Linked DNA regions of Struthio camelus. The protein of the gene in region 1 purifies or fractionates together with the protein of each later gene. This does not show direct contact. Links are inferred from orthologs where the notes say so. Each region holds a gene or a part of one and is shown on either strand. Other genes may lie near its edges. The genes, in order: RPA1, HLTF, SMARCAL1 and RFC2.

Region 1 (7,594 bases):
CTTTTTGAATCTGTGCCAATTTTTGGCACCCACATCATGTAGCATCGAGTTCCATAATTTAACTATGCAGTGTTTGGGGGTGTGGTACAGCCTTTGTTTTAAAACCACAGTCTGATAATGTAAGAACTAAAGAGCATCAAATGAACACAGAAGAGAGGGAGAGAGTCATCATTCTTTACTCATCCCCTCCAATGCTATCTTACAGTTTCATAGATCGTTATTACATCCTCCTCCTGTTGTTTTCTTTCCAGACCAAAAATCTTAGTCTCTTGGGTTACTCATTATGAAAAGATACAGAACAGCTTCTGCACACTTACTGGAAGTCTAGATGCAGACCACTAATGTATGATAAAAAGCTCTCAATGTTATCACAAACTATAGATACTTCCCAATACCACATACTGAAACTTCAGCCACGGTGAAGAATTTACAAGAATACAAACAAAGTTTATTTTGCGTTACACAGATAAAAAGGACGTTCAAGATCTGGACATCACTGTTGCAGGCATAAGGAAGCGGAACGCATCTGCCTGCACGTTGTTAAATACAACGAAACAGGCAGCTGAAAGACCATCCTAACAGTCTCTTCAGACAAGGTATTTTTCTACAGTAGTTACTTACCTTCATTGTATGGCACCGGATTGCCAATATTCCCACCAACCATATCAGCAGTTTTCAGAACATCTAAATCCATCAGAATAACTACTCTCCTACAAACACAGAGCAGACAGCGATAAAGATTTTCACTCCCTCTGTAAGTCCAACAGACTTTGAACATCCTTTGCATGCAGATAAGAGAAACAACCAGTAGGGGCAGATTTTTGGACAAGAGATCTGGAAAGAAGAGCTCTCCACTGTCAGCTTAACCCACTCACAAGGTACAGGTAGGCTTAAAACAATATTACGTTTCATCAGAGACAGAAGATGACAGGCTGAATGGGCATACAGAAATGGCTTGAAAGAACAGAGTCAGATCTTACGAGAGAGGATACATCCCCTGACTCAAGGGAACGTTATATTGCCTCTACAGAAACATTGAGTAAAAAAGATGCAGCACATCAGTTCCCATTCTCTAACACACTTGCACAGTTTTTAGATTGTCACTTTACCTAAATCACTTGTTAGTTTACAGCATCCTACCTTTCTCTTCTCTCAAAGCTTCATAAAAGAAAGATCAACGACTTTAAGTAACAGGAAAACTTCATCATTTCTTTTCTACAAGAGGTGATTTTAAGTAAATTTTATTTTAGGTTTATTAAAATAACCTCAGTACAATTCTGTGTATTGCAACTGGTTGCCTTCAATTACTTAAACTACTGTATTAGATACATCCGCACCCACTGCCATTACATTCAGTAATTTTTACTTCTGCTATTGCTTGTCTTCTGTATTTTCCTTCCTGTACACTCAAGACCAATTATTTACAGATAATCCCAACTAAAAGCACTTGGCCTCTGCTTAGTCACACAGGATAGAGCACCCACTAGCATTACTGTATCTAAAACAACATGAATACCTTCCATCTTTCAGGCTGTTGACAATGAATCTGTTAATCTGGCAGATACAGTGAGCTGCTAAGCGCTCCTCTTCCACAAGAGAATTCAGCTGTGTTGCTAACATGAACGCTGCAAAAAGTAGAAGAAAAATATTGAAACAACTACCATATGCTGGCCTTAAGAGAGGCTACCATGGTTGGCCACAACTTTTCCAGTCAGTCGACTGGCGTTAATTTAGATCTACAGCTTGCCCTGTTAATTACAGCACAGGAAACAGCGTAACAGCCAACAATTCACCAGCAGTCTGAACGTAAAATAAGGATTTGATCCCTCAACTTAGGAGATTCGATCAGGCAATGATAGTTAGAATGCATTAAAGAAATAAGAAAATGATTAAGCTAAACTACTTCAAAGACACTGTTATGAAAACATCCGCTATAGATTTGTCCTCATGATACCCTGCAGTGAGTTAATTGCCTACAGTTCACAAAAAAATTCCAGAAAAAAAGGATTTTGTCTGAGTATTGAAATGCAGTGGCACAATTCAGAATACAAACGGTCCCTACGTGTCACTTGCTCCTTCAATACTCATTTCATCACTACAAACCTAGATGTTAGACCAGAAACTATGGCAACATTAGCATCTCCACACTTGTAAAAATCTCACTACGGCTTGTCATACTTACAGGAGAGCGTGTTAACACCATCACTCATCAGCACTCGGTAACGCGGTGGCCCATTTCCTGTCGCAATAGCCCGCGTGTTCTGAAGGGAAACACCAGACTGTTAGTCCTCACTGGTTCATTCAGAAACGCTTCAGAAGCAAAGTCACATCTTTAGTGAATGACTCAGTCTATTTAGCTTTCTTCTTGAGCACTGATTCCCAACAGCACAGCTCAAATCACACAAAACCTACTTTACTCAATCACGTTAAGGCTCCTATGCTGAGCAACTTCAGCTGCAGTCTGGCCCTGCTCACAACCCTACAAGGAAGCGCAGGCAGTCACTACTGACAGGACGAAGTAAGGAAGAGTACTCACTATGACTTGCAGCACGGGCTTGGAGATGTTCTCCCCCTGCATTATGGCCTAGAGAGGAGGAAAAAAAGAGACCCTCAGAGAGATGCCACCTCTTCGCTCAGGAGACCCACAGCAGAGGGGGAACCGCTGGGAAACAGCAAAAGTAACGCGCAAGGCCAGCACCGCTGAGCCCGGCCAGGGCCCTCCCCTCAGGACCGGCCCGGCGCGGGGCACCAGGCCCGGCCTCCGCCCCCCACCGCCGCCGCCTCAGGGCCGAGTCCGGCTCTAGGCCTGGCTCCCCTCCGACCAGACCTAGCCCAATGTCCCCCCCACCCCGAGCTGGCCGCGCAGCGACGCCTCACCGCGATGGCGCCCTCGCTCAGTCGCGCGCTCATGGTGCTGCGCCTTGCGCCGCGCTCCGCCGCCGCCACCAAATCCTCCCGCCGCCCCGAGCCTGGCCCCGCTCCTTCCGGCGCGCTCTCCTTCCGTCACCGCGGCGCGCGGGCTCCTCCCCTCCTCCGCGCAGCGGCAGCCGGAGCGCCCCTATTGGCTGGGCGGCGCCGTACGGCGGAAGCGCTCGCAGCGTGCGGCCGCTCCGGTGCCGCTGGGCGCCGCCATCGGAGCGAGCTGATGGCGCTGCCGGCTGAGGAGTGGCGGGCGTTCGCCGCCCGGCGCTGGGCCGCGCTGCAGCCGGCGCTGCGGGAGCGGCTGGCGGCGGCGCCGCTGCGCGACGCGGTGCGGCTGGGCTGCGGCCTGCTCGGGTGAGCGGCGGGGGCGGCGGGGGGCGGCGAGGCGAGGCGAGGCGAGGCGAGGCGCTGACCGCCGTGTCCCGCAGGCCCGAGGCGGAGGAGGAGGAGGAGGAGGAGGCGGCGGCGGCCCTGCGGCGGCTGTGCCGGCGGGCGCGCGCGGGCAAGGAGCCGGCGGCCGCGCGCTGCTACCGGGAGGAGGGCAACCGGCGCTTCGGGCGCCGCCAGTACGTCGCCGCCGCCCGCCTCTACTCGCAGGTAGGCGGCCGGCGGGAGGCTCCGGGGCCGGACCTCGCCGGTGGGGGGGGGGGGGGGCCGGGTCGTCCCGGCTGAGGGGGGCCTCGGTGGGGGAGGGGGACTTTGAGGGGGCCCTCAGTGCGGGGGGGGGGCGGGTCTTTGCTCTGTGAGGCCCCCAAGGAGGGGCTTCGTTGTGGGGGGCCCCCTGGTTGAGGGGATCCTGGTGAGGGGGGGACTAGGGTTGTCCATCCCATCTCCCCCCCCCCCCCCGGTAAGGGGGGATCACAGCCGGCCCTGGTTGAGGGGGGTCCCGGTAAGGGAGGCCTCAAGTCAGCCCCTGGCACGGGGCCTCCGGCGAGGGGGTCCCCGGTGCGGGCGCCCTGCCGGCCCCGGTGAGGCAGCGTCTGCCTGGTCTCCGCAGGCAGCGTCGCACGAGCGTCCCGGCAGCCCCGAGGTATCCCTGTGCTTCGCCAACCGCTCCGCGGCCCTCTTCCACCTCGGACGCTTTGAGGTAAGCGGCGGCGGGCGAGCAGAGGTGCTCCTGGGTGCCTGGAGCAAGTCTGTGCTCCCAGCGTGTGACCTGGGGCCTTCTGCCTAGCTGGAGGGGGGACATAGGCCAAAGGAGATCCCAAGCGGCGCCTAGGAGCGTTACTATGTCACGTTTGCACGTCGGGCTTGAGGTGAGTGCTTCTAGGAACCCCCCAATAAAGGCTGTTTGGATATTAGCACAACAGAGTATACATCAGATGTGTTTTTGAAGCGTGCCTAAAACTTCCGTCGTTATGGAACTGTTTCTGAAGAATTCCTGCTTTCTCTCTCTTCGGTCTGCATTGTGAATCTTTATTTGGCCAACAGATTGGCTATGGAGAGGGAATCTGCTGATCGGTATTATCTTGAGTAAAATGTGTTGAATCTTTGATGTGATAAAGAGCACAAGTCTCAACTGCTTTTCAGGTACGTTTAAAAGGCCTCATCTTTGTTTCTAGGCTTGTTTGGAAGATATTGCGAGGGCTCAAGGTCATGGCTATCCAGATAGGCTGCTGCCCAAGGTCTTGGTGCGGAAAGCTGAATGTCTGCTGTGTTTGGGGAGGTTACAGGATGCAGCAGAGGCCCTCAATGCAGCGGAGAATAAAGTTGCTGTGGATCAGACTATGACTAGTGCTACACACCAGGCACTGCTAAAAAAGATAAGTCAACTGAAGATTAAAGTACATGAGAAAGAGAGCTGTCCAGAGCCTGCGCCAGAAGCACACGGTGCCATTCAAAGAGAGTCAGAGATCTGGGAAGAGAATGACAGCATTTCAGGTGCATCTTCATCTTTGAGCTTGAATTTTGATATAGAGAGAGGACGTCATTTGGTGGCCTCTCAGGACATTTTGCCAGGACAGAATCTGCTGAAAGAGAAGGCCTTTGTGAGTGTTCTCTGCCCAGGGGAGAGTCTTCTGTTGCCTGACAGTAGTGAAACAGTGTGGGACACTCGGGTCACTAATGCAGATCTTTATTGTCACCGTTGTCTGAAGCAGCTCTTAGCCTCTGTGCCCTGCAGTGGATGCAGTTATGCAAAGTACTGCAGCCAAAACTGTGCAGATCTGGCCTGGGAACAGTACCACAGGACAGAATGCTCCTTGGGAGCGCTGCTTCTCACATTAGGGGTCTTCTGCCACGTTGCCTTAAGGACTGTTCTGCTGGCAGGATTTGCAGAGGTTAGTAGGCTGGTGGAGCAGTCCCACGATGATGACAAGGACCTTCATAGCCCTGAGGCAAGATGTAAACATATCAATGAGGTACCAAATACCAGAGGTGGTATCCCTGGGAAGGCAGAGCCTCTGATTCCTGGCTGTAATGACAACGGTCAGTACCAGAGTTCTTACCAAGCTGTGTTCAACCTCTTGCCACATACTGAGAAGCATAGCCCTGAACATAAGTTCCTTTGCGTGCTGAGCATAGTAGCTATATGCAAAAAACTACAAGAAGCTGGTCTAGAGGCTGCTGTCTTGAATCGGGAATCGTCTGAGGAGTGGTCCAAGCCAAAAGAATGTGAAAATGGGTCTGATGAACTGTCTCCAGAGTTGAAGATTATGGCAGAAGCAATGCTGAGGCATGTGTTGCAGCTGCAATGTAACGCGCAAGCGATCACTGTAATGCAAGAGTTGGGTAAGATAAACACTTTAAGCCCTTTCCTCTTAACCTTGCTCATCTAGTTTGTGTGAAGTGGAGAAACTGAACTAGCAGTTGTAAAAAGCTCCCATTGCAGATGGGAATGACTACTTGTTTTTTGTAAAATTTGATGGCTTGCTCCTGCCTGCCTGTCCTTATCTTTGGTGTACGTTTAGATGGTATTCAGCTACTTTTCATTACAGCAATATGCCAGGAACTTTCCTACTGATGTCTGTGATTGGATCCAGTGCCCATTGCATTAAGTTTGGTGGGTCACTAAGACTTCCTTCCCAACATATTTGTTTTTCCCTCTGTTTTTAGGGTCCGGAGATGGTGCTGTTGTAAATAAGAAGCCTGTGCGCCTGGCGACTGCCTTCTTTCCTGTCCTCAGCCTTCTGAACCATTCATGCAGTCCCAATATCAGCATATCATTTAGTGGGACAGCTGCCACTGTCAGGGCATCGCAGGCAATCCCAAGAGGCCAAGAGATTTTTCATTGCTATGGTGAGTTTTAACTCTGTATTTATCTCAAGATCCAGGCATCCTTTCACTTCTACTTGGCATGCAGACTGATTGCTAATAGGATAGTAATTTGAAGTGTAATGTTGCTAGAGCTTATGCATACGTGTAAGTCTTGATCAAAGGTATCAGAACAAGTCCTTATCTCCAGATGCCCACTGTTCTGCTTTCACAGTCTCCAGTTTCATCCTCTTCAAAAGATGGTATATTTAGTCTGAGTCAAAACGAGGATAGATTTCAGGCTTTTGTTAGGGACTGTACCTGTTTAGCGCTTTCTGTCCTTGTCCTCCCTTTGCAGGGCCTCATCGATGTAGAATGAGGGTTGCTGAGAGACAACAGCTTCTTAGGCAGTATTTCTTCGAGTGTCGCTGTCAGGCGTGCCTTGAAGAGATAGAGTCTGATGTCAAGAGTGTGGTGTCCATGAGAAACTCATTCTGCTGCCCTAGCTGCCGGGCTTCAATGCAGGTAATTATTCCATAATTATAACTATATAACCATATCAGGGTGAGTAACGTTTGGGTCTCTGGGAAAGTCACAGTTAAAGATCTGAGTCTGTGACCTCTGCTCTGAAGGCAAAAGACCCTGCAGGAGCAAGGCAGTGTCTCATTGCTCTCTAGCAGCTTCCTTGGAATGTTCTTGTATGTCAATCTTCCACTGTTACAGGGAAAATACTGCCTTTAACAAGGAGTTAAAATTCCTTTGAACTTGCTGAAAGAAACCCTGAGTATCAGGGCCATGGATTGGGGTAGTGGGGGTGTTTAAGAAACAGAAACGGAGACCCAGAGTCTAGAAAACAGGATGTACCTACAGGAGGCCATACGTAGTGGGAGCTGCATTATCTGCAGTTCACAGGATGTAAACAAAACCAGCATCTAGCCATGAGTTAAATGAGGAAAGTCATTTTTTTGAAGAAAGAGAACAAAAGTGTGTGTTTTATATGAACAGTTTGTTGTGTACCTCATGACCCTTTTTCAGCTTAATCTTAAGTGGGCTCAGACTAGCACGTGTTTTCATAGCTGTTCCCGTTTCTCCTAAAATCTGAACAATCTAATAGCACTTTATGAGCTACTCCCTTTATTTAACAAATGTAGCTGAGGAACTATGTAGCAGCTCTGTGACACGATACAGACGTGGAGATGGAAAATAAGCTTTGAGTTGAACTTGAGCAGGAATGATGGCGTGGATGACTTCCACAGGGAGAAGACATACTTTGTTGTTCAAATGGAGCTTGTGCACTCTCAGTCAGCAGAGAGAGCCTGTCACAGCGGCTATGGGACCTTCAGCAACGAATCAAGAAAGCATTAAAACTGCTAAGCGACAACAAGGGTGGTAAGACTTAGTTTTCTGCTTTAAGGTGGGCAGCTAATGAGGACACATTGGGAGACCTGGTCCCAGCCATGAGATGGCACTGTTGTCCATG
Region 2 (7,838 bases), on another chromosome or scaffold:
TTTTATGAATGACAACGCTATGACAAGGATCAAGCCCTTAAACATTTCTTCCAACCAGGGGGCAGTTCAACTTCAACATTTAAAAAAGCAAGCATAAAACGTTCAACGTACCTTTCAGAGGAGGAGCCAATTTAAAACCATGCATTTTTAGCTGATCTAGCACAGCTTCCTTGTTCTCTTCTCTTCCCCAAAAACTCATTTGTACAGGCATGGTGAAGACATTTTTTGCTCCATAAGGGACAACCCTGTTAAAAACCAGAAAAAACCCATGCTCCATTAATCTTTAAATTGTTTATAATCTTCTACAATGAATTGTTATTTTTTTCAGTACAAGGTATTCCAAAGTGCTTATTTTCAGCAAAAGATACAGTTTTCCAGACAAGCTTACGCAGCGTGTCCTAAGGCCCGTGTTACAAAATCTATCGCATCTAGTTTGTTCCACAACAACCTTTCTTTCGGGAATTTGCTCCCGCTAGGATCTCTGAAGTTTATCATATATAGAGAAGAATGAACTGTAAAGGAAGTAGTTCAAGAGAGTAGTAAAGACCCTGAAAGCGTGAAGCTTGAATCATGTTACTCTGAGTGGTCATTTCTGCCAAAAGAGAATAATTGTAATAGTTTTCACAACATGCTAGGGCGGCAGCAAAATGCTTCCATTACTTTATATTCATGGAACTAAAAGCGTAATTTGCCCACTTACCCTTCAACTACTGCTAGTTTGTTGTCCATAATGCCTGCCAATGCTGCTGCTAGTTCTTTTTTAATATGGCCTACTTGGTCTCCATTCACATTATTTACTTTCACCGCATTTTTATCATAAGGATTATTGGGCTCCCTCTGCAGCGCAACCATTTCATTGTTATTAACCTAACAAAAACCCAAAACACATTCATTAAGGTGCAAATTATTTGCAGAAATATTTAACATACATGTATTTAAATGTCCTGAAGTTAAAGTTAATCTGGCATAGCATTCTGCTCGGTCTCTGTAATAACTTACTATTTACTCAAAATACCAAAAGCAAATACAAAACAACAACCTGACAGAAGTACTCCTGAGAGCAAGAACTACATCTGACTACCAACACAGCAGATGAGTGTTAGCCTCGTGAAACCTGTTCGGTAAAGGAAGAAGCATCCCTTTTTGTCAGCCCGAACAGTCCAAAGGCCTATGTAATTTCTTGCTTTCAGTCACTTACATGCGAGTCAGGTGGATGACCAGATTTACCAAATGGCTAAAGCAGATTTGAAAGATAGCTACCTTAATTGCCTTTTGAAAAACAGACTAAAGTTTAGATTATGCATTCCCTGTAAAGAATTTTGAATACAGCAAGTGGGAAAAGAAAAAATTATCTACGAGCACTACACTTAGCCAAAAATTCTGGGGAATTTTGAAATTTAACTAAATAGGACTGTTTTGAAGCTGGCAACAACTCTTCGTTCTGTTTTATTATTTATCATGCACTTACAACCCCTTTGTAGTATCGTAATCCAACAATAGTTCCCCGCAAAGTTCCATATAAGATAGCTGAATCGATATCCTCATCTGTTCCAGAAGCGTCACCTATAGAGAAGTCTTCTAACCCAAGACTGGAATAAAATTCAGAAGAGGAATAATCAGAATAGTTTCTCTCTCCTTTGTAGGTGTTACGTGGAGAGCATCCCCACGCAGGACTTCTGCAGAAAGACACAACGTGAATTATTTGGCAATAGATTAATTAATAATAATAATAATAGAATGATTATTTCCTTGTAATCACTTATTTTCACCCCTTTACATGATGGCTACCTATAAACGTAAGTCTAGCAATTTTATTCAGATAACATTTACCTGAAAACATTCAAACAAGTCTTCTGTTAGAGTAACATTTTTTCTACCTTTTTTTTTTTTTTAATCTCCAGTAACTTTGCTTAATCAAATTACAATAAAGAGGAACTGACAACATAACGGACTACACTAAAGCATTTGTGCATTTTACCATCTATTCCTGCGTTCTCTCACAGGAGTATCTTAGTCAGCTACATTAAGAATTACAATTATTCTTCCAGCCTTAGTTATGTCCCTAATTGCACTTGGTACAGTAGCGTTTCCGAGTATTTTCCAAACACCAATTTATCTGACCTAAGAGAAAGGTTAAAAAAGTGTCGATAACCAATTACCCCTGCATGACTTCATGCCTACAGAGCCACAAGAGACAGCATAAAAGAACTAAGAGAAATACTTATCTTATGAGTCGCAAGGCTAAACAGCAGTTCCCTACATTTGCATTATGCTTTACGTCACCCTTTGATGTCTATTATCAGCACTTTACATAGCTTTAGAAGAAAACTGCTACTCCAACTTGGCACAAGCAATGACGCTGTATATCTGTAGTATAAGTCTCCACTAGCCAGCTTCTCTCTCCGATGAGGAGAAACACCTAATAACTGCTGCTCTTGCACAGCAACTGACAGACGGAAACGTCTGCAGTCAAGTCAGATGCATAGTCAAGCGAGGGCAAACGTACTAACCGTTGCCTAATGGGCAACATGTGACAATAACACCTCGATACACGTGTAAATGAACCTGTAACAGTTATTCATGACCTTTTGTACCTCGGATTCCATTAAGAATACTGTCAACGAAAGCGATTAGTTTCAATACGAGTTATCTGGAGCTTGGCACCGCTACACTTCGGCTTCTTTCGCATGCAACCTCTAAAGCTGCTACCGCACAGTCAACGCTACGCTTCCTCTGAGAGCAAACACAGTCGCAGAGGTTCGCTTAGAGCAGGCCGCGAGGAGCCAGCGAGGGGTCGCCGGCAGCCCGCCCGCCGCTGGCCGCACGGAGAGCGCCGCAGGCCCGCACGGCGCCCGCCACCGCCACGGCGGAGCGGCCCCGCACTGCGCGCCGCGCCGCGCCCCGCCCGGCCCGGCCGCCCCCTGCCCGCCCCCGCCTCACTTGCGCGGCCTCCACGACATGGCGGCGGCCTCGACACCGCTCCGGCCGGCCCTGCGCCCCCCGCGCCTCAGAACCGACTGACAACAGCAACCGCCAACAGCGCCGCAGCAGGCACAGGCGCCGACCAATGGAGACACGGCTGCCACGGCGGGGGCGGGGCCAGCGGGGCAGGGCGGGCCCGCCCCTCCCCTCCCCTCCCCCACCCCACTCCCCCGCACGTTTTTAGCTGTGTGAGGGCAGTCGGTCCCCGCTCTGACAGACCGGTACGGACGTTGCCGCAGTTACGGGCAGTTTTAAGAGGGAGTTAATTCCCTCTTTTAGAAGCTGATTTTAATTTCAGTCTACAGAGATCTTTCAAAAAAAAAAAAAAAAAAAAGAGTGCTGTTTCCTAGGCAAGATCCTGTTCTTGAAATTACTGACAAATTCTCACAGATGCAGTGATATAAGACGGAATTTTGTCTACGCGCCTGTTTTTAGCCAGTGCAAATTTTCAAGTCACAATCATGCTACAATTGTATACAGTTTAACAACATATCAAAAACTCTAATTTTAGCCTAATTTAACTACTACTTTGGCTATTATTTCTGGTAAAAGTTAAGAAGAGAAAATTCAGTGTTCTCCTTATTTTGCAGTAAAAATATCTGCAGAGATTCAATGATTACCCTTGTAAATGTAGTAAAATTACTATTTTTTTTTTTTTGCAATTTTAGACTTAACAGTTTTTACTGCTAGCGTGCGGAGTACCTTGTTTTGCCTGTTAACTAAAAAAGTCAGTGTAGACATTAATAAGTAATGTAAACAATGCTAACAGTGTTAACATTTTATCACTGTAAGATGGAATGTATTTTAAAGACTAAATTAATGTTGTACTCCGTCATCCTACTGCAGTGGAGAATAAATGGGAATAGCAATTTTCTTATCCTTATTGTAAAGAAAATACTGCCCTGCAAAGGAATAAATAACGAGTATTGGATTTTAAGGGCCATCAATTACTCATTAGTATTTCCTATATGGTAAGGAAGCTTGATGAACAAATAACATGCATTGCTTAACTCCACAATGCTCCCAGATCAACTTGCATTTTATAACCGAACAAGAAAAAGATGTATAACCCTCTATTGCAAACCAGCAACCTTCAAAAATGTTTGCTTTAATAATTGCATTTGTAGCTTCCTCTTTACTAAAAGTACTAGTTTATAATATTTTTATACTGTTTTTCTGTTTGTCAACTCTCTAAATTTCTAAAATTTATTGGTGAATTATAGTTATTCTTTATATCTCTCCGGCAATTAAGGCATACTCTATTTGTGAAAAATTATCTGCTTCTCCAATTGAGACACTCTGAATTTCAATAATACTGAAGAGATGTGAGAGGGAGGAGAGGTCTCAAGCAGCGTCCTGTCTAAAGTTATGTTAAAATATGCTAGATACATCGATAGAAAGTTAAGACTGATAAACTCACCATGAGCATTGTCACCAGCTAGGAAGTCACTGGAAATGACGAAACCCCAGGAATCATGGTGTGCTAAAAATTACATCAGGGTAACTTTTGCCCTATCTGATTTTAATCACTATCCTATCTTGTTCCCAAGCCAAAGTCCCAGTCCAAAGTATTTAAGGAGAGTAAACAACAGCTTTCATTATTGTCTCCAAGTGACTGTACGATAGTTGACACCTTTACAGGGAACATTTACAGATAAGATAGTAAGAAAAATGAAAATGTGTAAAAAGAAGTTTTAAAATAAACGTGAAAGGACTTGCAAGAGGAAATGGATGTTGGGAGAGGGGTGAGAGGGAGAAAAAGGAAAAAAAAAGAAAGAAAAAAGGTCTTAACCAAAACACCTGAAGACCTCAACGGGTTTAAAGACCTGATAGCTATACTTCTTTTTAAATAAAGACATATAACTTTATGCTAATAGAAAAATTATCAGTTTTACTACTCCAATGTATTTCAGAACTTAAAAAAAAAAACAACAGATGCAAATGTACACTAAAAGCACCTGATATCAAATGCAAGTTGCATAAGAATGAATAAATGGGAATGCAGAAGCTAACAGCACGATCACTTTCAGAAACAGTATCTATTGCCTATGTGTATTGCTATTGCATTAAAACAATTTTGTCTAAACAAGGCTAAAGGTATTGCCTCTTCAAAGCTTGTTTCTGGTCCTGCACACACCTAGGGTCCAGCCAGCAGCACGTTTCAAGTATTCTCTGTCATTCATAGGGTAAACCACCCTTATTTGCAGTTACATCCGCAACTGCTTCAGAAAAGCTATTCACAGAAAGACATACAAGATACTTGATTGCTTTCAAATAATCCAACGCAATTTTATAGTAATAATTACTTTTAACACATTCAAAGCAAAACAGAACATAGCAAAACCTCAATTTTGGCAATTCATTCATAAAGAGAAAACTCCAAAGATAAAAGGACAAACCGTTCACAAACAAAATGGCATCCCCCCACCCCGCCTTGGTTTTGTTTGTTTTTGGAAGTAATTACAAGATTACATTTAGCTTTAACGCTCAAGAGTGGGTTCAAGACCTCTCAGCAAGGCCGGCAACATATCATTTTGCCTGTATTCCTTTCAGAGAAAGGGAAGGGATGGACCAGGGACAAAGAGCAACGGGCGACAAGCCTAGGCACCTCGGGCCAGCTGCTCCGAAGAAAAGATGTTTCAAAGAAAAGGTGCAAATACTGCTGCCGCTGAGTAGTGTCACCTCCCTCAGAAAAGGCCACTGCCAAAAACCCGACCCTTCCCAGCCTGGTTTTCCAGGCTTTGTGCCACCGCAGGTAGGACTTGGCCTAAGAAGCCGCCCACCCCGCCTGCAGTTGGGACTCGCCCTTCCAACATCATACTTACCTAAAACAACTCGTACACCGACTTTTTGACCAACCTTAGTATTTCAAAATGAAGTTGCAAGTCATAATAAAAAGCAAGGGCTGTGGTGGGTTCACGTCATTAATTAATTGGACATGTAAGGTGTCTGACGCCTTTAAAAATGAGGAGAACTAACAAGTTTTAAATGCCAAAGTGAGCATGTTTTCAAATGCACTGAGTGTTTCTGGAACTACGGCTTTTAGCATTTAGTAATGACGAGCTTATAAACAAGCTCATCTTCTTGGGCAAGTAAAGACTTAACACTATCTACCCATATGCTTACACACATATTTTTAATGTACCAAATTTAACTTTTCATTAACTAGAATAGTATGCGGTAGCTGTCATTTAAAAATCTGAACTAACGCTAACATGCTATATCTAGTTTATTTGTTGCAGGTTTACCTTACCAAAAGACGAAGGTTTTTTTCTTCAACTTTCATTCACTTCGTCATATATAGAGATCATCATAACCTGGCCTGAGTACTCCTATTGTACCAGACTGTTAATGAGGAACACGCAGGTTAAAAATCAGTGGCTGAAGAAGACTATTTAAACTGTTAACGCCTTCCTGTCTAATCTTCACTAAAAATGCATTAAAATAAATACAGATTTCTAGCGATGTTTTGTCCATGAGATTTCTCTTCGACTCCTAAGTAGAAGCAGCAGCACACGAAAATAATCTTCTCTGCTCCTACGGAAGGAACCACGAGGCGTTCACGGCGTTTTTCAGGGTGCACCTGACCCTCTACTGCAGCCTCCGCGCAGCAGCAGCTCCACGAGGAGGGCGCACGCCGAGCCCGGGCGGAGCAGCAGCAAGTTCCGGCCCTCACCACAACGGCCTGTGGCGAGGCACCTACTCCAGAAAGCAGCTGCGCTCCTGCCCGGACGTCCCGTCCCGTCCCCACGGCTCCGGGGTCTCCAGGCCCTCAGGCCGCCCCGCCGCCGGAGCCCCCCAGCAGAGGGCAGAGCGGCCCCGCCCCGCCCCGAGGCCAGGCGAGGGGCGTCGACCCGGCCGCCTCGGAGCGCGCGGGGCCCCGCCTGCCCGCGCCCTCCCGCCCAGGGCCGCTCCAGCACCCGCCGCGCAGCGCCACAGCCACGCGCCTGCACCACCCCACGTGGGGAGAAGACCGCGCTCCGCTAATCAGAGGCCTCCGTTCTCCTCCGGACAGCCCGGGGAACAGCCAATGGGGAGCCAGGGCGCGCGGACGTGAGGCGAGAGGCGGGTAGCCGTTGGCAGTTGGTGCCGCTCGGCGGAGGGAAGCGGACGTCGCCTGGCGTAGCCGAAGCTCCTCGCCTTAGCAAGGCAACATGGTGGGGAAGGGGATCCTCGCGGCTGGGGAGAGAAGGGGAATTTGGGATCGCATCTGTTGCGGCAGGTCCGGGGAGTTTAGGGTTGCGTGTGCTGGAAGAGGACTTGCAGGGTGCACCCGCGTGGAGCCTCCGCGGCAGCAGTAAGGCGGAAGGATTGGGAGGAGGAGAGAAACCGCTGTAAGAGCTAATAGTTCAGTCGAGGTTAGGCGTGGAAACTAACGGGCACCTAGCGGGACGAGAGCGCGTACAAAAGCAACGAAGGGCAGTTACCGATGTGTGCCGGCTGCACGGAGCGGTGGCGGGAGGCGAGGGACGGACTAAGGCTTGACCCAAGTGGCAGATGGACGACAAGAAACGGGATGGCGGCCGCTAACGAGCGCGTTGCACCGTCGGTTGGTTGCGCTGCCTTTCAAATCTTGCGAGCGCAGCCAATCAGAGGAGAGGAGTCTGAGCCGCAGCCAATAACGTGGCGCCGGGTGGTAGCAGTGTTGAAGGGGCGGGATTGGTAGTTGAGCTTTGGCGCCTCTTGCTCGCGCTCTGAGAGTCGCGTGGTAGTAGGCAGTAGGAAACTGTAAACGGCAAGGTGGCAAGAAAGCTACGGAGCCTTGGGGCAGGCCAGATGGATGTGGAAACGACTGCGGTTAGCTTCGCTGTCGAAAGACTGACAAAACCACGATGGTGAGAATTAAAACATGGAAT
Region 3 (6,955 bases), on another chromosome or scaffold:
AAAGCAGCAACAGAGGAGAAAAAAAAATACTAACAATAATAAATATGCAAATAACAGCCAGAAGAAAAGAACAGAAGCAACCAGAAAAGGTGCAGGCTTTAGTCCTGTCAGTAACCCAGTTAACAGAATCAGCCCATCAACTCTGAGTGATAGCTGAATTCAGACTGACCCATTTTCCCACATCAGTTTATGAATAACTTCTCTTCCATCATTCCCAAAAGACCCTGACCAGCTGGCACCACTAATCATCTCACAGCATGGTTCATAAGTCAGGACTTCTGATTTCTTGGCTAAATCCAAGTTCAAGCTATTCAGTCCCTGAATTTCTTTCCAAATTTCAACTGCCTTTACTTCCAATCCCCCATTAATATTCCATATTCCACCCTAACAGCAGATGCATTGCTAAGAGCATATATCAACTACAGTTCCAAGAGATGCTGAAATTTTGTTCCAATGTAAAACAGAGATATGAGCAAACAAGCAAATCTTACCGTAGCTTTTGCTTGGTACCTTCTTAAACACAGCAATGAGTTCGGCATTATACCCTATTTCAACCTGGAATCGATCTTCTCCATATTTCACACACTTTCCTTTTGTAACACTGCATGCTTTCTTGTGAGAGACAGCTTCAAAGGTAGAGCCTGCACCAGCAGAGCTGGTCAGCTTTTGCACCTTACCACTGGCCTGAGAGGCACCACCTCCTCCCTCTTTTTCTGTTGATCTGCCTGTGTTTATCAGCATTTCTGAATCACCTGGGGTGGTGCTGCTTGGTGGTGAAACATATTTAGTGGCAGATTTGCTCTGACTTTGTAAATCTTTAATATCACCAGGGTGCCAGTTATCTATTAATCTGGGATGAGATAGTTCTGTAGGGTTTTTGTAAGCTGGGTAGTACTTGGACTGCTGGAATGTACCAAGATTAATTAAAGCTTGTTGATTGTGTTTCTGGCCATCAGCACCTGAGTTATGTTGATGGGAATAACTCAGAGAATTTGGAATCGTTGCAGGGAATTGCTTAATGCCACTTGCTTGTTCTGAGTCCTCCGAACAATTCTTTTGTTGCTCTCCATGTGAGCCAGCCATCTGTTGGTTTGCAGTGCAATGATTATAATCTTTATGAAGATAGCTCTTCTGCTCCTTAGGACTGTTCGGATTCTGTTGGTGCTGGCTAATGAACCTGACATGATCGTTTTCTTGCTTCAAGTTTCCCTGATTGCGTAAACTGCGCTCTTTCAGCTGAGGTTCAGTGCTCCCCACCTGCCCACCTCTCTGGGCTGCTAGTCTCTCTGCTCTCCTAGCCAAGGCCTTCTGGCGGTTCTCTTCGATTCTTCTCTTTTGCTCCTCTGTAAGGCCTGATGACATCTTCAGCAATTCAAATAATAATCCTGAATCAAAACCACATCGGGAGTTAATCTCAGGGCAGTTGCTTCTTTACAGGATTGGAGGCCAGCCTATAAAAATATAGCAGACAGGAAGTTTCAACTCTGTAGGTATTCTTAGTGATCAGGTACTACTGTAACTGATCCTACACAAAAACAGCAAAGCTGTCAGGTCAATGCTAAGCCATTGTCAGCATGCAGATGCTGACAACCGCTGCTAGGCTTTGCAGGGCAGTTCCACATAGATAGAGCATATGGAAAAAGGAGAACCTGCTCATACCACTCCAGTGCCAGCTTGGGGCACCATTCCTCCCCAATCCCAGCTGTTGGCAGTTCAGATAAAAAGGCCAAACACAGGGACACCCTGCAGCACAGAGGCTGCCCCACAAAGGCAAATGCATGCAAAGCAGTTAATCTGCACAGTTTTGTATGGGAAGTGTTTCACATTTTTGGTACCTAACAAAAAAGAAGGGACCACACCCCATCTTTCCTGAGCGTCCTCCAGTCCTCAGGCCGTTCACAGCATAGAGCAGAAATACTTTGCTGCAAAGGGCAGGGTCAGCTCCTGCCTTGAGGAAGGTCCACTCCAGTTCAAGGACCTTCTGATGGGAACAAGGACCCAGCTCCCACCGCATTTCCCAGGAACTGGCCTCGCTTCACCTACTCCTAGCATCCTATCCTGGGGGCTGCCCTCCTCTCCCTGCACTGTGGGGCTCACTCCCTGCCCCACTCCTCTCCCAAACACCAGGCTCCCTTGTCCCAGCGCCCACTCTCCAGCCTAGGCTCCCCCCACCCCACAGGGGCCCGGCGCCCACCCCTAAGAGGGGCCCGGGCCTCCCTCACCCCACAGGGGCCCGGCGCCCACCCCTAACAGGGGTCCGGGCCCCCCTCACCCCACAGGGGCCCGGCGCCCACCCCTAACAGGGGCCCGGGCCGCCCTCACCTCTCAGGGGCCCGGGCCCCCCCACCCCACAGGGGCCCGGCGCCCACCCCTAACAGGGGCCCGGGCCGCCCTCACCTCTCAGGGGCCCGGCGCCCACCCCTAACAGGGGCCCGGGCCTCCCTCACCCCACAGGGGCCCGGCGCCCACCCCTAACAGGGGCCTGGGCCCCCTCACCCCACAGGGGCCCGGCGCCCACCCCTAACAGGGGCCTGGGCCCCCTCACCCCACAGGGGCCCGGTGCCCACCCCTAACAGGGGCCCGGGCCGCCCTCACCTCTCAGGGGCCCGGCGCCCACCCCTAACAGGGGCCCTGGCCGCCCTCACCTCTCAGGGGCCCGGCGCCCACCCCTAACAGGGGCCCGGGCCGCCCTCACCCCACAGGGGCCCGGCGCCCACCCCTAACAGGGGCCTGGGCCCCCTCACCCCACAGGGGCCCGGAGCCCACCCCTAACAGGGGCCCGGGCCGCCCTCACCTCTCAGGGGCCCGGCGCCCGCCCTACAGGCCGCAATGTCCCACATCGCCCCGAAGCTCCCCTGCAGCGCGCCTGAGTCGCAGCCACGTCCCAGCGCCCCCCGCCCCAAACGCCCGCGCACCCACCGGATGGCAGAGGCCGGGTATCCCCGCCAAAGGGCGCGCAGCCGCGCGGACTACAACTCCCAGCAGGCCCCGCTCTAGAGAATAAAGTACTCCCACCGCAGGTGGCACGCCGCGAACTGGGATGGTTTGTGGGCCGCTCGGCATGCTGGGAAATGTAGTCTTCTCCTCCCGGCGCCATCTTATGGGCGCGAAGGGCAGCGCGGCCCAGGGGCTCGAGCTGTGGAGCCGGGCGCCGCAGCACCCTCCTCTCGCCCCGGTTTCTCTCGTACGAACATGCAGGGCGCAGGAGCCCTTCTACCCGTGATGGACCGTGCCTTTGCCCTACCCCGGTGCCCCACAGCCTCAATCCTTTTGGGCCACGCTCCCAAAACCACACGTACAACGGTGTCCTGGTGCCCCGGGTTTGGTTGGCCTGGGAGGAAGGGCGTCACTCTTAGAGGTGTTAGTAAGTGCATGAAATTAAAAACAGAGTTAATACATGGAAAAAGAGTGGCAATAAATTCACAATGAGGTAATTATTTGCCTCCATTTTAAAATTCGGAATAAAAGGACTTTTCAGGGTTTAAATACGTAGAGCAAGCTGTCCCTCCTGGACAGTTCAAGTCATGATTCCCCTGTGAGCGACCAGAGCAGAGTAGCTGGAGTGATCGTCTCTGGGTAGCAGCCTAGCCCCTTCCCACCTTCTACTTCAGCCCCTGCCGTCGCTGTCCCCAAATACCTTTTTCCCCCACCTGACAGACCCCTCAGCTAGGGACAAAGCAGCCAGCTGGCTGCTTCACAGTTTATTTATTCAGTCTTCTCTCCACTGTTAATTAAAAAAGGTTATCCTTAAATTGCTTTCTGATTAAGAAGCAGTGACTGCCATTAGTCAGGAGCGCGTCAGCCTGAGAAAAACAAGGCAGGCAGCGAGGATGAGGTGCGACTTGACAAATAGCACAACCCCGGGAGTGCAGTTATTCACCCAGGAATCACAAACACACAAACGTGAGCATGGCACATACACGCAGACACTCGCAAACATGCAACTTTTAAAGAAAGCCACAGTGCTGAGGAGAGATCTGGACCAAGAGTTTTGTCTTAGTTTCTCTTAGGAAGACAGCAAAAGAGTAAAAGTTGACCATTCTTCCAGAAGCCAGGGCTCCCCCCTGCAGAGCCGGAGCATGGTAAGAAAGGATGTTCAGTCCTGTGGTCTCATTTCAGATCATCAGTGATTGCCCTTTTCTTCCCTTTTGAGCCAGTGGCCTCAAGCTGATTAAGTGGCAGAGAGAGGAAGGAAGGGATGAGAGATCAGTTTTTTTTTTTCTTTCTTGTCACACTTTGCGCTGCTCAAAGCTAAACCAGAGCCCGGAGTTACATACAGGCAAGAGAGGGAGGAAGCACAGAGCATAACCCTGCAAGTATTTCAGCCACTTTCTCTCTCTCCAGCGGCTGTTCAGTTCCAGGGCTCTCGTGATGACTCCTTATGTTTTGGGAGAGCTGGAAAAGAATAGACTTGGGAGAAGTAGAGAAAAGCCCCTCTCAGGGACTGTCCCCAGCTCATGAGGACAATGAAATTAAAGCATCATTTGCAGAGATAAGAGCTCTTGGGTTGCACGGTCAGGCAGACACACAGACAGACGTTGAAGCATTTGCTCCATATGGCACAACTTCAGCAAGGCACAAGGAACAGCCCAACCATGCAGAGAACAGACCTACAAAATGAGAGGCCGTTTGCAAGCAGTTTGCTGGTAGCACTCCAGGTGTCCTTTCAATCAGAACATGCTTCCAGCAATGGCTTGGATTCACCTTCCACATACTAGGTCAGGGAACAGAGATGCAGTAAGAAAATCCTGAGAGGATGAGTGGGTTAGCAGACCCCAGCTCTGCTGGGGAGGAGATGGTTCTTCCGCTTCCTCAGAACCACTCCAGTTAGCAAAAAAGCTTGAGGAAACAGGCTTCTCAGTACTGCTCTCACTAGGATCTTTCCATCATTTGGATCATACTCAAAATGTAGTGATCCTCTCATGGACTGGACTGGCTGATCCTGACTGCTTCCTGCTGAAAGAAACCAAAACTGCCTGGACATTTGTCATACATCTTGTACAAACAGCAGCTAATATCTGAAATATTAGTGACCCCGGATCCTGGACCTGTTCTGTATCTCACAGTTCTTCATCTGGGGATATCTTCTGAGCTGCTCTCAGGCTCTCTCACTTGCTGTCGTGCTGAATGTACTCACCTTGCTCCATCCCCTTTCAAACACACCTCCATGGTTCTCACCGCTGCATATCCTCAGGCCTGGTGCCATCTGGGAGACAATCAGAAACACAGAGCTTGGCATGCAGTAACAGCCCTCGGGTGCTCCGACTTCTCAGAGGAGTTCAGAAGCCCGCATGGAGCTCAGCAACACCATTATCAGCTCCCAAACACACTCACCTTTGACCAGCCGAGGTGTACTTGTAGTCACCCCCTTTAAAAGAAATTAAGCCCAAGACCATAGGCTTTATCAGCTCCTTCCCAGGTAAAACCAGTCAAGTGACCAGAGTGAGAATGTGCAGGTCACACACAAGTCCTTCAAGGAAGGTCTAAGGGCAGAGGAGGCAGGGAAAGGCCCCTGGGCTGGCACAGCTCATTGGGGAAAACCAATCTGTCATCTGAGCTGCTAGGATCTGAGCTGAATACTTTCTACAGCACCTGATCCGTGGGCTGAGGGGCTGTGCTCCTTCCTCTCTGGTCTGGGGTCCTCAGCAGGGTCAAAGCTTCCTAATGGAGAGCCAGAACCCCATGCTCAGAGCTCCCACAGGTGCTGGGGTTCAGGGTTGGACCTGGGCACAGTGGCTGACCCCATATTCTCCCAGAGCAGTTCTTCCCGGATTTCTTTTCTTAGTCATCTGTTAATACCCTCTACTTTCTCTCTGCCTCGGCACATCAAGGACAATGGCCTACTGGCCCATTTGACAGCCCAGCTACTACCACAACTCCACTCTGAATCAGACCCTTTCCCAGAGCTTCTTTGTATCACCAAAGACAAAATTTGAACTTTGGAGCCCTTAAAACTTGGAGCCCAGCTGCCCTTAAAACCCTAATGAAAGGGGACCTGTGGAGCCTTTTCTCTCGGTATTTCTAACATGTGAGGATTGCTCCCCCCTCTGACAGCCAGCTCAGTGAAGAAGAATCCTCTTTCCCTGCTCCTTGGCCACCCCGTGCAAAGAAAATTAGTCACCATCCACTCTTCTGAAGCAGCCGCCTTTATCTACACAGCTTGCTCTCCCCTAGCATGTTGAAGCCTTCCTGCTCTTGTTTATTGTGCAGCCCCTCCAACAGATTGCAGGGGCTCTTCTCTGCCGTCTGTCCTTCTTGGCTGGATTCCTCTCCACAGCTCCAGTCCAGAGCAATGGTCTGCACAGCACATGGCCTCTGCCTCACTGCCAGGCCTCCACCACACTCACATGGTTGCTGCAAGGCTGAGCTGACTCTTGTTTTTTTATATGATAGAACTCAGGTGTGTGGGACAGTTCTTTGGCACCTGGAATAAAGATTTAAAAGAGAAAAAAAATATCCTACATTAAGATGCAAACAGGGTTTCCAAAGCCTCTGTGTTGCCAGCATTTAACACAAAGTGAGGTGTGATCTAGTTCTGGGAGGCACTAGCAATTTGGACCCCCCGATGTCTTATAATATATTTGAGTTCAGGCCATCATACATCCCTCTGGTCTACACAACTGTTTGTTTCCCCAAATGCAGAACAAAACATTATCTTGGTGAAACATGGTTGAACTGGCTGAAGGAGGCAAAGTTAAAAGGGGAGGCCCACATGTACGCACAGATAACTTAATTGCATAAGCTTTATTTCCTTAGGAAACCAGGCTAAAGAAACAAAAGTTGCCCTCCCAGTTCTATTCTGGAGCCTAAATTACTGGCCTAGTTTTCAAGCTCAGAATAAACAGTTAATCCTATAGCTTTAGTACTGATGTGAAGCCAACTTTTGAGCTTCTGTTGGTTAAAACTACCCATGGTTCTCTGGCCCTTTCTCTTCCTGGTGCGCAAGAGACCCAGA
Region 4 (7,154 bases), about 3.4 Mb from region 1:
TTAAACCCCCATAAGCCTCCTTTCTGGAAGTTTTGAAAAAATAATTTAAAAGATTATTTCAGTGACCTTACAGTACTGCCACAAAAGCAGTTATGCTTGTCAAAAGGTAAGGGTAGCAAGCAAACAAGGGCAGGAGCTTTTAAGACTGCTTTGCCACTTTGCCGATACTTTATGTAGCTATGCCCTCAGACTCAGCTGTAATTCAGAACCATTTAAGAGAAATAGCTGGACAAACTGCATTGTATTAGCACAACACGGACACTTTCCTAGACAGAAGCCCACCAAAGAGTTACTTTTAAAAATAAACCATTTTATTTTTGTTCTGTTTAGAACAAGGAATGTCATAATTCTATAGTTCTTCTGTAACTGATATTAACAAAGGCAGTACAATGTATTATGCTCATATACAGCCTTCCATTGTAGTCCTCACAATACTTCAGGACAGGGTCTGCTAAAGGACTTAGGAAAATATTATAATTAGGCTTTAGCACCTGATCCTTGGAAAAGATTCAGTGCCCTCTACATATGTAACACGCTCATCCTACAGTTTAATCAACTACCTTTACAGGTCTAATTTCTATCACTTTTTGTCCTAAGCACTGAAGAGATCCATTCCAAACAACTTATTCGCTTTTCATTCTTAGGAGGGTCTTTATGAATGCAAGAAGCCTAACTCCTTAAAGTAAACTTGAGAAGACAGTACCATTACAGATTCTGCACACCATCTGTTTATATTTTTGTGTTTGAAAATATCTATCAAGTTGGTAAAATATCAGGTGATAATAGCTACATTAATAGGTGTATAGCCAAAGACTGCCTAACTTTTAATTGGAAAAACTGCATTAAAAATAAGTATTAGAGGCATTACTGCAGCATTAAGCCTATCAAGCCTGCCTGAGTTCAACTAAAAATAAAAATGGATGCTTGCTTCTTCATTAAAGCTTTGATTAGATTTATACAGCTCTCATCCTCACCTATCATTTGAGGCATTCAGCTCCAGAACAGCATCCTTTAATGCAGGACCAAGCAGAGCGCGAGCCAAGCAGAGGATACTGGTGGTTTTACCTGTTCCTGGCGGACCCTAGGAATGCAACAATGGCCGTTAAGTTTTATGCCTTTTTCTAATTTTTGCTCTCCGCAATGCCCGCAGTCAGGAAAAACAGCTGCAACGGAGGAACTGCAGAGAGAACATCAGACTAGGAGTTGCCTGAGTTCAGAATCCAGCCTCCAACAGTGGACAGAAATGCTGCAGGGAGAAGTACAAGACATGCTTCACTAGGTACCTAAGGACCAAGTTAATTCTCAGGTTTTCTTTTGCATTCTGCCAAGAATATTGCTCTGTGACCATATAATCAGGGTCTCTTTTACCCATACATTTAGGAGCCATGCAAATCTATATGGGGAGGCTACTGTGGCTCAGTTTCAAAAGCTAGGACCAACATAGTGAAATACAGTACAGCATAGCAATACTTACAGCAATTATAATATTTGGTACATTTCCCTCTTTTGCAAAGACCTAAGATAAAATAATAAAAAAATTATTGATATAAGAAAACTGGGACCAAACAGTTCCCAATTCCACTCCATTTTAACCATGAGAAAAGGAGCTAATAATTTCTTTTCCTCCCTCCTGCTTCCATTTTTTGAACCTCACTGCTTTCATGTTTTTTTAATTGATCTGTTAGAAGTCAATCCCTAGAATAATATGGAAGAAAACTTAAAAGCACTTAATAGCAGAGTTTTTAGCCCTTCCATCTGCTTTAATTACATATTTGCTAGTATGAGCTTTCTGCTTACAAGCACTGCATTCACAAACCAGTTTATCAAGGAGAATATTTTTCTTCCAGAAGGAAAAACCGCTCATTATGTTTCTTTCCATTGCAGTATAAGCTACATTTATTCATTGAAACACTATTATTGTAACAGCTACAAGTTTTCTAACTCATACCAAAACAGGGCCAACGTAAGCAACATCCCACTTGGAGAAGGAGTATTTCTTTAGAACACCGCTCCGCTATGTTCTCAATTGTATGATTTCTACGTTAAGTGAGAAAATTTTTTCCTTTTACTCCAGTATGCACCTCAAAACACAAAAGTGCTTTTTCGGTCTGGGGATCTAGGCGGAATTACATTTTCTGAGCTAACCTACGAAACAGAAAGGAACAGCAACACACCTCCAGCCTGCTCACAGTGTCTTCATTTCCAACTATTTCACACAGCTTCATTGGTCTGTATTTTTCCACCCTGGAAAAGTAAACCCCCAACCCCTTAAGCACACCTAATCGAACTTGTAACAGCGTTTTACGCTGCTCGCGAGAGGAGGGTTACATTAAGATAGCACGGAGCAAAGAGGGCTCGATGTGTTTTACGTAAAGGCCAGGGAGGGTGTCGTTCCCCCCTCGCTCCGCTAAGTGCTTTACTCCACGGCACTAATTCTGCAATCCTCGCTTCGTCCCAGTTAGTAACTTTTGTTATCAGAAAACAGGGAAGGCAGGGTGAAGCCAGGACACGAGCACCCCCCCGTCTGCCCCTTTTCAGCCCCAGGCTGGGCCCAGGGACCGGCCGGGCCCCTCACGGCCCCTTCCTGAGGGGACGCGGCCGCGCCGCGCGCGCCCCCGCCTTCCCGCCAACGGCCCTGCCCCGCCCCTCCGCTCGCGCCAACGGCCGCGCGCCCCTCCGCTCGCCCCATAGGCTACGCCACACCAAGCCCCGCCTCCCGCCGCGCTCTGCTCCAATGGCCGGGCCCCCTCGGCCCGCCCTCTCAGCCCCTCCCCCACCCGCCCGACGGCCGCCCCGCGCTCTCTCCTCAGCAGTCGCCTCCGGCCCTCACCACGGCAGCTCGTAATGGCCGCTGGCGGCGGGGGCGGCGGCGGCCGGGGGCTCGGCGGAGCCCCGCTTCTCGCCTGCCGCAGGCCCGGCCCTCTCGCCCTCCGCGGCCTCCGCCTCCATCCCGGCGGCAGCTGGCCCGGCCCTTGCCTTCCCGCCGTCCCCGCCGCCTCCGTGAGGGCAGGGCCGCGCTGCGCTCCGGGGCCCGCCCTGCGGGGCGGGACGGCGGGGACGATCCACCCCGGAACGGCCTGCTGGGAGCCGGCGCTGGGGCCGCTGCTCTGCGCCCTCCGCTGCTGGCGGCTGGCGGCGGAGCTGGGCTGGGGAGGTGCTGGGGCCGTGCCGGGCCGGGCTTTGCTGAGGAGAGGCAGGCAGCTAGACGTCGGGGCCGCTCACAGCACTGCTGGGTGGGCTTGCGCTCAGTTCTTTGGGAGTCTGGCTGCTCTTCTTCCCTTACTGACCGGTTAAGTGTTAAGTCGCCTAGTAAAAACAGTAATGTGTTTGCAACCCAGAGGTCTAAGCACTTGTTTCCTTTTTTAGCGATCTTTATTTCCCTGTATAAAATGAAAACAATAAAAGATGCATCACAAAGCATCGTAAGTAGTTATGTTACCGTAGCTGGGTGTCGTGGTGGCGCTGTTATCATTAAGAGTTTGGTGGTTTGGTATTTCAGTAGTTACTGGGGCCTTGGTGCATCCTCAGGCTCTGCTATGCTCAGCAGAATCAATGGTACTTCTGTTGGTTTAGTGAGCAGGGGATTTTTCCTTCAGTCTGAGCTATAATCCCTTGGGAAGTATTTCCAAACAGGATGTGAAACAAGAAATTAGTACTGGTCATATTTGAGGTCCTATGTGAGCGATGATGTTTTTCTAAGAGGGCGACTTTGCATCACTTGCCACAACGTTTGCATTTGAATGTAGTTATCTTAAGGCCTGGTGCCTGTTGCTTGGCTTTTGAGGTCGACACCTGGGTGTTTGCAGATGGAAGCATTGCCTTCAGCCTTTGGAAGTAGTTCTGCCTGTGGCCTGACAGTGATCCGGTCTGCTGAGTTTTTGAAAAGATTCCAAAACTCTGGAGGGTTTAGTTTATGTTATGCAAAGTGTAGTTTATGTAGGCAGGATGGCTGCTGGTTTAATTTTGTTGTATTTCTTATTAATAGCTGTATGCAGTCCATAGTGGTTTTGTGATAAGTGTTACATAAGGGTGAAACTGTAAGTGATCTGCAGACTTTAAGTGGCTAAAGTAACTATGGGTTTCAGCCACTGGAGGTAAGAAGAATAAATAAAGACATGATTATGTGGCTTCCTAGGGCAAGGCAGTTGGCTTTTTTCAGTGTTTAGACTGTTCATAGCACTCGTACTGGATGAATACATTGTTCTTCTAATACACCAGACTCACTGTGTTACTCTTGTCTTTGGGTTCAGCTTACTGCAGTATTCAGCAGGCGCCAACATGAGACAATGAAATACTCAGCTGCATTCAGCACTGCTGGTCATAGAAGTCTGTCAGTATAACACAGTGGACATGCTTTGATTTCTTGCCAAATTGTTATGCTCTTAGGAAGTGCCAGCCTCTAGATAAGATATAATTTTCCTGGCCAGCATTAATTCTCCCATTATATGTGCAGTATTGCTGCTGATAAGCACCCAAAGGACTGTGAGAAAGATCATTCATAAGAGTTTTTGCAGAGAGCCTGATGAAAGATTTTGTGATACGTGTCCACTAAGCAGTGGCAATATGCGTTTCTTTGGAGCACAGTCTTCTAAAGCACTATAGTGCTGTGTGCTTCTATGTAGACAGGAGCTCCTCACATTTCCACAGTGATTCTCTAGTGTGTCTAACACAGAACAATTATTTGCTGAGGTCACGAGAATGTTGATAGTGATGCACGGCAGGTGGATAGGCATACCTAGTTTGCTGAGATGTCACAACAACTTGAGCTGAAACTTTTAAAAACTATCTGTTCCAAAACTTGTACTGTTGCTAATGTAGTCTCTTTGTTGAAATCACAGGCTGCATTCGGGATAAAATGAATTCCAAATCAGTGCTGAAGAGGCAGAACTCTTTTGATATACCATCAAAGATGCATGAACGCACATGAATGCGGTAGATGTAGTGTATTATCCTGAAAGGAGAATGACCCTGAATTTAAGACAATTCCTTCTTGCCTGCCCCACCCCAAAACATATATGCAAAAAGTTCATTAAATATTTGTTGTACAGTACAGATGCATGCTTTTCACTAACAATTTAGTAAGCAAGAGGAATGCTTGTCTTGGAAGCATTCAAAGAGAGGATGACCACAGATCCTGTGGTCATCCCAGGAGCAGTGATGACCCAGCTGTAGGTGCTTAATGTAGTAGGGAATGAGTCCTTTCAAAACCATGGAGAGTCTTTATTCTCATATTGGCTCTGGTCAAGAGCTCATGCTCTAGCCCCTACAGAGAAGCTGAAGAAGGCCAGTACAGCAGGTTTTGTCAGGGAGTTGTGCAAAAGCTGTGGCAAAAGGGTTTCAGAAATCCTGTATATCATGTCCTGTGGTAGGAACTGAAGAAGGTTTGTTAGACTTTGAAGAAGGTGAGACTAGCGAAGACACTAAAAGTGAGGCAGAAGTTGAAGATGGTGAAGAGTGACAGTGATGAAATGATGAAGGCGTGTGAATTGTAAAAACCAAAAGGCAATAGAGGTAAAGCCTAAAAGAAGCAGCTGACTTCAGACAAGTTGTTAATGAACATGCAACATACATATTTTTCACTATAGAAAAATAATAAAAGTCTTGTATACAATCTTTCTGGGGGGTAGAAGAAAAATAGTCTTATATTCAAGGTCATTTTGCTTTTGGATTAACACTGCATCCAGTTTACTGTTATTGGTAGGACAAATATGATATTCACTATCCAGCAGGTCTAGAAGGCCAAGGGCTGAGATCTTAAATTACAGTGTTAGAGAAAGTGCAGGGTTCCTTCAGCTGCTCATTCCCCATCCCCACCAGCCCTGCAGTCTAGCTTAAAACTGTCACCTCCTATTGCAGTGCGCTGTTGTTCAGCTGCCACAAGTAGGTCACGTAGTGCAGATGGTCTTGCCGCCAGTGGAGTCTGCAGTCCCCTTTGAGAATATTCCCTGCTCTTGCTCTTTCACACTGTTAGCTCGGAGAGAGTGGGATGAATTCTGATACTACCAACCATTTTATCCTGCGTTCACTGAGACTGAAAGCATAAAGTAAAGCTGGTACAAAGACTAGTAGTGAAAGCAATGATGGGAAGATTAGAAGAGAGGTTGGGCTGGTCTTTATGAAATGTGGCATCACTGTGTTAGTGGCTTTCCTGGGCTTGGCATGTCTGGGCCCAGACTGACAGGGGCCTTGATTCTTGTAGCGCTATGGTGTTTGAGCTCTAAGAGCAAAAACAGTGATGATGCTCTGAGTATACACAGGATATTAACTTGTCCTTGTTCTTGCAGCATCGTAGCACCCCTCAGCTTTTAATACGTTTATCTGTAGAACGTCTCCGAGAGGTACGTTTATGTTGTTTTAACATAAGCTCAGATCAGTGCAAGTTGACTAATGAATAATTTTATCTGTATTGTTTAAAATTTGTTCCTAAATAATATAGCTGAGGTCGCATGTTCAGTCTCCACCAGAACGCTATCTTCTCGATTATTTCCCTAGCCACTGCCTCATCCTTGTTCTCACGTGAGCATCTTCAGTAGCTGCAGAGCAACGGTCGCTTGCCAGAGTAATCTGTGTAAACACAACATGACTCTGTCAGCTCTGTTACCTGAGCACTTTTATTTATGACTTCTAATTGCTTTTTACATTTTCTTTCTTTCTTTCTTGCATGTTTTTCTATGTTGTCACATAAATTTACAAGCAGTAGCAGAGCTGGCTGTATTAGTCTGCAGTTAATAAACTTACACTGCTGGAAGCGAGGCAAGTCATGCTAAAGCCCATTAACCACTGTGAAAAAAGTAGATGCAAAGGTTAATTTCAGGTTATTGCTGTCAGGAAGATCTGATATTTACAGTATTTAAAAATCTTTTCTATAACCATCTAAAAATAATGGATTTAGATCACCACAATTTAAGAAGTGTTATTAACTTTTTATGCATATGATGATGAATAAATGTAACTTGTCCAATGCTTTAGGCTACAAGAACAAGATTCAAGAGCACTGACTTGCAAGCCCTACCCTCCTGGTCTTTGGATGCTTAAGACTAACAACATTATTGACATTTCCATTCTTTGCTTTTTCTAAAGCACATGATAGAAAACTACTTGGACCCAGCTCAAGACCAGATGTGTGGTTACAACTTTAGTCAGTAGAGGGAGTA

What was found.
Region 2: the proteins of RPA1 (region 1) and HLTF purify together in Homo sapiens (affinity purification with mass spectrometry, with the first as the bait; 4 studies listed by BioGRID). This does not show direct contact. The link is inferred for Struthio camelus from reciprocal best matches to the Homo sapiens genes RPA1 and HLTF.
Region 3: the proteins of RPA1 (region 1) and SMARCAL1 purify together in Homo sapiens (affinity purification with mass spectrometry; 8 studies listed by BioGRID and IntAct, with this or other methods). This does not show direct contact. The link is inferred for Struthio camelus from reciprocal best matches to the Homo sapiens genes RPA1 and SMARCAL1.
Region 4: the proteins of RPA1 (region 1) and RFC2 purify together in Homo sapiens (affinity purification with mass spectrometry, with the first as the bait; 3 studies listed by BioGRID). This does not show direct contact. The link is inferred for Struthio camelus from reciprocal best matches to the Homo sapiens genes RPA1 and RFC2.

Annotation. Positions count from the first base shown.
Region 1 is NC_090957.1:16,142,408-16,150,001, reverse strand, and holds the start of RPA1 (replication protein A 70 kDa DNA-binding subunit), read right to left. Parts: upstream 3,018-7,594; 5' UTR 2,911-3,017; coding exon 2,878-2,910; intron 2,585-2,877; coding exon 2,537-2,584; intron 2,262-2,536; coding exon 2,183-2,261; intron 1,626-2,182; coding exon 1,517-1,625; intron 711-1,516; coding exon 622-710; intron 1-621. Other genes in the region: SMYD4 (SET and MYND domain-containing protein 4), read left to right, coding at 3,146-3,276, 3,318-3,519, 3,920-4,009, 4,485-5,652, 5,977-6,159, 6,473-6,639, 7,371-7,503. UniProt on the Homo sapiens protein: As part of the heterotrimeric replication protein A complex (RPA/RP-A), binds and stabilizes single-stranded DNA intermediates that form during DNA replication or upon DNA stress.
Region 2 is NC_090950.1:34,268,327-34,276,164, reverse strand, and holds the start of HLTF (helicase-like transcription factor), read right to left. Parts: upstream 3,009-7,838; 5' UTR 2,961-3,008; coding exon 2,941-2,960; intron 2,734-2,940; exon of another isoform or gene 2,595-2,733; intron 1,677-2,594; coding exon 1,469-1,676; intron 868-1,468; coding exon 701-867; intron 246-700; coding exon 112-245; intron 1-111. Other genes in the region: tubulin alpha-3 chain, read left to right, coding at 7,137-7,139. UniProt on the Homo sapiens protein: Has both helicase and E3 ubiquitin ligase activities. Possesses intrinsic ATP-dependent nucleosome-remodeling activity; This activity may be required for transcriptional activation or repression of specific target promoters.
Region 3 is NC_090947.1:29,554,779-29,561,733, forward strand, and holds the start of SMARCAL1 (SWI/SNF-related matrix-associated actin-dependent regulator of chromatin subfamily A-like protein 1), read right to left. Parts: upstream 3,007-6,955; 5' UTR 2,920-3,006; intron 2,912-2,919; exon of another isoform or gene 2,795-2,911; intron 2,748-2,794; exon of another isoform or gene 2,646-2,747; intron 1,982-2,645; exon of another isoform or gene 1,836-1,981; intron 1,452-1,835; 5' UTR 1,363-1,451; coding exon 492-1,362; intron 1-491. UniProt on the Homo sapiens protein: ATP-dependent annealing helicase that binds selectively to fork DNA relative to ssDNA or dsDNA and catalyzes the rewinding of the stably unwound DNA. Rewinds single-stranded DNA bubbles that are stably bound by replication protein A (RPA).
Region 4 is NC_090957.1:12,759,985-12,767,138, reverse strand, and holds the start of RFC2 (replication factor C subunit 2), read right to left. Parts: upstream 3,018-7,154; 5' UTR 2,950-3,017; coding exon 2,831-2,949; intron 2,245-2,830; coding exon 2,175-2,244; intron 1,517-2,174; coding exon 1,475-1,516; intron 1,082-1,474; coding exon 975-1,081; intron 1-974.